Linked DNA regions of Drosophila melanogaster. The protein of the gene in region 1 interacts with the protein of each later gene in a pairwise test. Each region holds a gene or a part of one and is shown in the gene's direction. Other genes may lie near its edges.

Region 1 (3,754 bases):
GGGAAAGGTCAAGTATGCTCATAAGGAAGTACTCCGAGATCAGTTCAGTGCGTATCCAGGAGACCAAGTGCTGCACACATCCTAGCAGGTCCAAAATTGAGGAACTGCGGAGTATATAGAGAGATGTTATAACAAAATGTTGTAATGAACATATGCTCTTTTGAATGTTATGATGACCCACCTTAATTGATTGTCATTTGGCAGCGCTGAGGTTAGACTAAAGTCCATGAGGGTGTTTGGTATGGTTGTTTGGATGTCTTTGCCATTGATGTGGCATACAGCGATTAGCAGATACTTGGTTACCAGGTCCAGAACATCGGGTACACACATGGAGATGCTACAGAAACACACGGCAAAAGGGAGCACAAAATGGGTTAGGAACAGTGCTGTGGCAACTGACCAGTAATTATAGTGCTTTCTCTCAACAAAGCAATATAATATGATAACTGGGTTAACGGTTCAATTAGTTGAGTTTTAAGAGGTCAGCTGACTTTAGTTGTTATGCCATATACATACTCAATCTCAATATAACACTTATTAATAAACCAAAAACAAGAACGGACTGACAAGGTCTGGGATTGTGTTATTCTATGTTGTGCGACGCAATCGTGTATTTAAACAAATAACACCAAAGTTAATAATAAAAATACGCTATGCTCGAAAACATCGACCATCTGATACGCCGTACTCAGTTAAAAATCCAAGTAGTCTTAAACAGACATTAAAAGTATGGGACTACAAAACCTTTTTTAAAAAACATACGATTTTAGCCTCTTCGCTCTATTTACCCACCAGGAGTAGAAGTACTGCTTCCATTCGGTGGTCAGGTCGCCCCTGTTGCTTACCACCTCCTCGGAGGTGATCTTAAGCAGGTTGATGCCAAGTTGAAACCGTGTTTTTGTCAGTTCCATGCAGTGTTGCATGTAATTGGGGTCCTGTTCAGGGAACTCCCTCTTTCCGAGTAGGGCTATCAACTGGGCCAGTGTGTCCCTGTGCCGTTTGGCCACATTTGGAGTGGCTACCAGTTGGGCATACGAGTTCCAAAGGGTCTCCCGCAGCAAAGTCTTGTCCGTGGACGTCAACTGTGTCCATCTCCGCGTGATTGTGTGCTCCAAGGTTGAGGTGCTGAAGAACCAGAGGAACTGATTCTCCGTGGTGTCGGAAGAGGTGGCCACACGGAGGCAAAGTTGCCACGCCTCTGGCTGGGACTTGAAGGCCAAGAGGTTTGTCTCGATCTCTCGTTTCCGGGCATTGGAGGTGCTGGGCTGATAAAACTCCTGCAGCAGTCCCTCCACCGTCGTCAAAGATGCGGCGTGCTGCACAGACAGTGGGTGGGTGGAAACCAATTCCCGGTTAGGTGGAATCACTCTGAATCACTGGCAAAATAGTGCGTTTGGCCCGGAGCCCCCCGCCTCACCATTTTCCGTGTCCTTTACGATCCTTCCGAGTATCTGTGATCTGGATGTTACGGTCACTGTGAGCTCCGCTTGCTCGCGGTTCTAATTCCGATCGCATCAGCAGTCGGCGTCCATTAATTGCATGGTTTTCTTTGTGTCTTTACACAAAAGGTGGCCAAAATCTACTCCGGGAAAGTGAACAAATTCCGCACGGCTGGCAACCCTGGCCGATAGTCAATAAATATCGATAGTTGTTGGTTATGGGTATTTTGAAATAAAAAAATTCTACCTTTCTTATTTTAATTACCTAAAACAAAATTTTTTTTAAATAAAATTGGCTATATAAATGTTTCAGCTAAAACTACGAGCGAGCAGACAAGCATCCAATTCAAATCCATAGTTATACAAATATATATATATATATATATATATATATATTATACAAATGTAATAAATTTTATATTTTCAGTCATTTTAATCTGATAAATTAAAAATGCTGGACTATTCCAAACAGCTCATAACCAGAAACATTTTGAATTTTCCGCCTAACCGCAAATTCGATCGATAGACGATAAAAAAATTGATCGCAGTCGGCGCTTTTGTATGTATTTTTTAATATGGTAGCACTATTCTAATAAGGCAATATTGTTAGCAAAACGGGACACTGATTAACTGTTAGCCTGCAAGTTAGGAAACCTGAAAGTAAAGGATTTTCAATTGATATTTCAAGACGTTCCTATCCGATCTGCCCAACAATCTGCCAGTATCTCATCATGGAAAACCAGGTCCGTAAAAAGGCGGCAAAACGATCGCGATCAGCGGATGGCGACGCCAACAACAATCTCACGCAGCGGAAGGTATTTGTGAACCAGAAAATGTGCGACTCCCGTGATCCTCGGAAGATGAAGGAGGTCCATGGTATGTAAATTGCCTTATTCGCACCAACTTATCTTGTTTCGATCCTGTAATGGAGGGGTGGGAGATTGGAGAGATAGCGCCGCTCAGAGCGCAGTTATCCCGGACTTGTTGCTCACTTCAGTTTGAACAGTTAGACGCGAGAACAAAAAATTGAGCAAAGCAGCGACCTCTAATTTACGATGAATTTACGCATAAATTTTTTTTTTTAATTTTTTTCTTGCTGTTCTTTTGCACGTCCCATCGAAGCTGAGTGTCTAACCCTCCTTTAAGTGTCTAACTCAACTGGAACTCTCCGATTTTCTATTTCTTTCGCAGAGAAGACAATCAAAATGCTTTTCGATGGCGCAGCCGGCAATAGGCAGGGTCAGGGCCAGAATGCCCTGAAGCCATTGGTACAAGGCCAGGAGGAGCCCGCCCTATGCGAGCAGTACTATCTGCTTGGCGATGGTTCCATCGTTCTGCGCAACCTTCGCACCGACTTGTCCAATCCGCGCCTGGAGAGAGTGAAATCGCGCTGCTGCCAGCGCCAAACGCTCATCCACGACATATGCGTCAACTGCGTGATGGATCTCTGCGAGGAGTGTGGCTACTCCTGCGGCGAGTGCTCCAGGTTCATTTGCCGCAGCTGCGTGACTTTATTGTGAGTTAAGTCCTTAAAAGAAGCATCCCCCTTGGGAACACCTTTTATTTGAAAATCAATCGACCATCATCTTATTTCCAGTGGTAATCGAGTTGAAGAAGAGAAGGATCCCCTGTGCGAGCACTGCCAGATGTTCTTCAGCTAAGGCTTTACACAATCCAGCACTTATAAAGTCGCGGTGCTTGTTAAATTTTAAGTTCTGAAGCAGTACAAATTTGGGACGACACAATGTCAAATGTATTACCAACCAGCTCCGTTTCACTTATGTCCTGTAACTGCTTTCTTTCCGGCCGATAGCCTGGATGAGATCCTGGCACAGGAGACTGGGCTGGGCTGCTCGGTCTGACATCAGGTTACTGTGTTCTTTTAACAGCACAATCAGGTTGTCTGTGAGTGCATTATACAGATCCACAAATAGCTGCCAACTGCCGCCGTGGCTGATCAAGTACTTGATGTCTACATCCAACATGCTGCCAAGAAGGCAATCCAGGGACTCTCCTGTGAGAGGGACCGTACGATTCCCGGCCAGATTGCGCTGGGCCTCTAGGAGTCATAGGGCATGACCAGAATATGCCAAGTCTTTGGGTTCCGGTTGAAATGGTCATTAAGGATCTAAAGAGAACATTATTAACTAGGGAAGGAGAATAAGGTACTGGGGAAGACTCACCGCTCCCTTCACGCTGCTCAACGAGCATTTGGCAAAGAGCCAAAAGAGTTAGCACATTCTGGAGCGCCGTGTGCTGCGTTTGCGACGCAGGGCGTGCCATTTGCTCCTCTTGTGAGGAAAGACGGCGCAGGA
Region 2 (3,754 bases), about 22 Mb from region 1:
GAGCAGGATCCTATTGGATTTATCGTTATGTAGTCATCCGTTTTTGTGTTTTCGCGCGTTCTACTTACCTCATATATAATGGTCGAGTGCTCCAAGTGCCGCAGATCAAACATGCGCACCGACCCGTCCGCTCCCACCGAGGCAAACATGTCCCGACCGCCGCCGGCCCGCGAAAAAGCAATGTCGTATACTTCCTTGTCATGGGCAATCAATTGCGTCTTCACGTGTCCTGCCACATAGACGCGAGCGTGCGGCTGTCCGGTCTCCAGTCCCCAGATAGTGCAGGTTGTGTCTATCGATGAGGTTCCCACCAGATTGGGATCCACCTCGTTCCAATCAAACGAAGTGAGGGGAGCGCAAAAGTCGCTGTTCTTGTTGTTATTCAGTACGCACTCGAGCCGCGTGTCCGGTTCCCCGGCACGCCACACCCGCAAGTAGTCGCCACTGGTGGCCAACAGATCCGGATAGACACCCTTGGAGTCCGGGATCCACATGATCTTGGTTGTCGGATATGGATGATCAAAGGTGCTATTTGAAGAAGAAATAATCTGTCAGTGAGGAAGGGGATTTCGGAAAAATGGTTCGTATAACCAAATAACTATTCATATTTAAAATGATTACAATAATATCAAAACTGCTTATCATTTTATATTATTTTTTAAAGATAATATACGAAATATAAAATGAAAACAGAAAGTAGAAGGGATCAGCTAAACAAATATTCGGTATACCTCTTAGCACTAAATTCGCTGGTGTCCTCGTCCAGGCTGATGATCTGTACCTTGTTGTTGTACTCCTCGATGAAGCTGCCCAGTGCGAGCCGGAATCGCTTGTCCGGCCTTACACTCCAGTTCATGGAGTACAGTGGCCATGGCGCGAGATATTTGTAGATCTCCTTGCGCTTTCCGGCGGTCGAGGACATAACTGTAGATATGGAAAAGGATCAGCATGAGAATCTAGGACTCGTATTCGAATTCGGAGTCTGGATCAAGAACCCACCTGAACTGTGTGATTGGATACGGATATCCAGACCAAGACGAAGATCAAGACTTGGATGACAAGGTGCTGCTGAGTTTTCTCAATGCCGTTTAGCTGGTGGCCGGCCTAATGACGACGAGCTCCTTTGGTGATGATGACGACAATGATGATGATGGCTGATAATGACCACTCACAGCAGCGGACAACTCAAGAAAACTTCATGGAATGGGAAACAAAGGTCTTTGCTTGCCACTCGCATTTGCACACTTTACCGGCTTGCTTTTCCTTGGCTTTTCCTGTAGCTTTCCTCTTTTCCGAGATTCACATCATTTTGTGCACTGGCAGTATTGCCAGCTCGCCCGTTTTCCGACTAGAGTCCGTCCGTCCGTTTGCCGTCGTTATTCCGGCGAAATTTAGGTCTGGAGGACACCGATCGGAGAAGTCGAACTGTACTCAATCAACAGGGCGAAGGAATTAATTCAACGGCGTGCACATCGCGACCGCAACGCATCCGTTTGGCCAGCAAGTGGAATTGTGCCCGGCACTCCGTATAAGGTGGCAACACTAAAACGTAATGCGACGCGAAAATTCGTTTGTGGCGGTCCTTCGATGGGCAAGCTGCCCCGGTTTTACCTTATAATTTGGTTAAGTTTCCAATCCAACCACAGTTTTCTGAAACAGCACGGTCGGAATTACACGGAATTAGTATTCAAAGAACTTTTAATACATTCTTTTCGACAGAATTTTCACACAAAAACAGTGTGACCGCGCAGATAGCTATAAGAAATACCTTGTGCAAAATCATTGTTATATACCAGATAAACAAAATACTATTTATTTAAAACAAAATTCTGTATTAAATTATATTGAACTGTAATATATAATATTCTAGGCTTGACTTTAGTCTAATTAAGAATTGAAAGTTGTGTGTTTATTTCCACCCAGAAATCTTTTCCCTGGAACTGGAAATATAATTCGATTGGCGTTTTGTGCAAAAACTATTAAGTTTGAAGCATATTTTTCAAATCCCATATGATGGAATTCTGTGTAAATGGAACATTAAGAAGGCCTCTGCTCATCTGTTAGCAAGTACACCAACCATACATGCATCAGGCATAGTTCTTCGATAGTTATCGAAGAACAGTTAACCTATCTTCAAAATCTAGTGACGGTGACTTCGTTTCGGCGTGCGGCCACACTAGCAAAAAAAATAGGATTAAAAAGTGAGTTCTGTGTTGTGCAAAAAAAAATTGCTTTAATTCGACCGGAAAAAGGCCCTTTTGCGGTGCAAAACGATGATGTCGCTTGGCTGGCGTTAAAATTTGTGGGATATCATTAAGAGACGGGACTTTCGGCAGCGCGACCTCGTTCGCCTCGTGATGTTCGTTTTGCGGTCAAATTTTCACCTTCGCCACCCATCCCCTCGCCCATTTGTTTTCTATCTTAGTATGAATTTATACACTTTATATACGCATTTGCCTTTGTACATTTTTTGTGTTCCGTGGATGTATGAAAAATTCCTAATAGCCGTCGTCGTCACTTTTCCACTTTCCATTTTGAGAAAGATATTTCACTTTGCGTAATTCGTACGCTGCCTGGCGCCTGTGTGTGTGTGTGTGACCGTGTAGCCAATAGTGCTACATCGCTCGCGCGCACAATCTCGGCACTGTTTTACTACTACCCTGGCTCGCCCCCTCTCCCTCACACATTTCACTGCCAAACGTACGCGCGTGTGTGAGTGCACCTTTTAAAAATAGAATCTCATTTCGTTTCGTTTTATATATTGTTTTTGCTTTTATCACAATTATTTCGATTTTGACGTGCAAAGAATGTATGAGTTTTGTGTCTAAAGAAAGCGGCTAATCGTGGTAACCGTTGAAAAAGTTCAGCTACACCTGTGGGTACTCGCGTGCGATTGTGTGAGCTTGGATAATTCAATTTTTTTAAGTGAATGTGTGTGAATGGGCTGTAGTGTAGTTGTAGCATTTTATGAACGAAAGATCGATTCGTGAAAGTGTGGCCATCTTATGTTAGTTAAGGCCTACCACCCGCTTCTCCCATCCCCCTGCACTACACCACCCGCAGAGCCTTACACTTGTGCATGTATGTATGTAAAAGCAACGGTTTTCTCGAATGGGAGCGTAGACAGCCTGGCGGCACACACACGAACGTAACTTCATTTTAAGTGTTACCGCATAAGGACAGCCGTCCGCGTCCCACACCGCCCCTACCCAGTTCAGCCAGCCAGCGTCACACTGAAGTTGTTGTTATGGCAAACTTGAAAACGGCTTTTCTCTATTTATTACTATTTTGCGATTGTAAACAAGTGTCGATCGGTTTTCCACTCTCCGCCTAACTGTTCATCAGGGACAAATCGAAGGCCACAAATTCCCGAGATGTGCGTGGGTGTTTTTTGCGCTTGTGAAAAATCAATCGTGGGAAGGGGAAGAAAGACGAGGAGTTCCGCTTGAAGGGTTTCGCATTATCTTATGCAGAATTCAAGATAACCTTGCGCCTGCAAGCCTTCATTTCTCCAATAAGTGAATCAAATGTAAACGGACAAGGTCTTGACAATTTAGAATTGTTTGCACTACTAAAAGTACCGTCATAAAAATGTGGTTTTGATTAAAAGATGTTCCCTCATTAGATCATTTACACTGGGCATTTTCCAATCTTTTGGGTATATTTTTGATAAAGAAGTTAGAATATTATGGTCCGATTAGTATGAGGTTTTGAATTCGAATTAATTTGATAAATAGGGCCTTCTAAAATTCCA

The links. The genes of interacting proteins can lie anywhere in the genome.
Region 2: the proteins of CG13373 (region 1) and Usp2 interact in a two-hybrid assay, tested with the Drosophila melanogaster proteins (one large-scale study listed by BioGRID).

The regions. Positions count from the first base shown.
Region 1 is NC_004354.4:474,977-478,730, forward strand, and holds CG13373 (uncharacterized protein), read left to right. Parts: upstream 1-2,007; 5' UTR 2,008-2,170; coding exon 2,171-2,315; exon of another isoform or gene 2,316-2,630; coding exon 2,631-2,955; exon of another isoform or gene 2,956-3,036; coding exon 3,037-3,100; 3' UTR 3,101-3,215; downstream 3,216-3,754. Other genes in the region: ebo (ellipsoid body open), read right to left, coding at 1-104, 182-337, 793-1,316, 1,418-1,420.
Region 2 is NC_004354.4:22,453,663-22,457,416, forward strand, and holds the start of Usp2 (ubiquitin specific protease 2), read left to right. Parts: upstream 1-2,140; 5' UTR 2,141-2,201; intron 2,202-2,783; exon of another isoform or gene 2,784-2,897; intron 2,898-3,228; exon of another isoform or gene 3,229-3,529; intron 3,530-3,754. Other genes in the region: wap (wings apart), read right to left, coding at 1-10, 69-528, 732-922. UniProt on the Drosophila melanogaster protein: Hydrolase that deubiquitinates polyubiquitinated target proteins. Required for preventing the activation of the Toll signaling cascades under unchallenged conditions. Essential for bodily calcium homeostasis.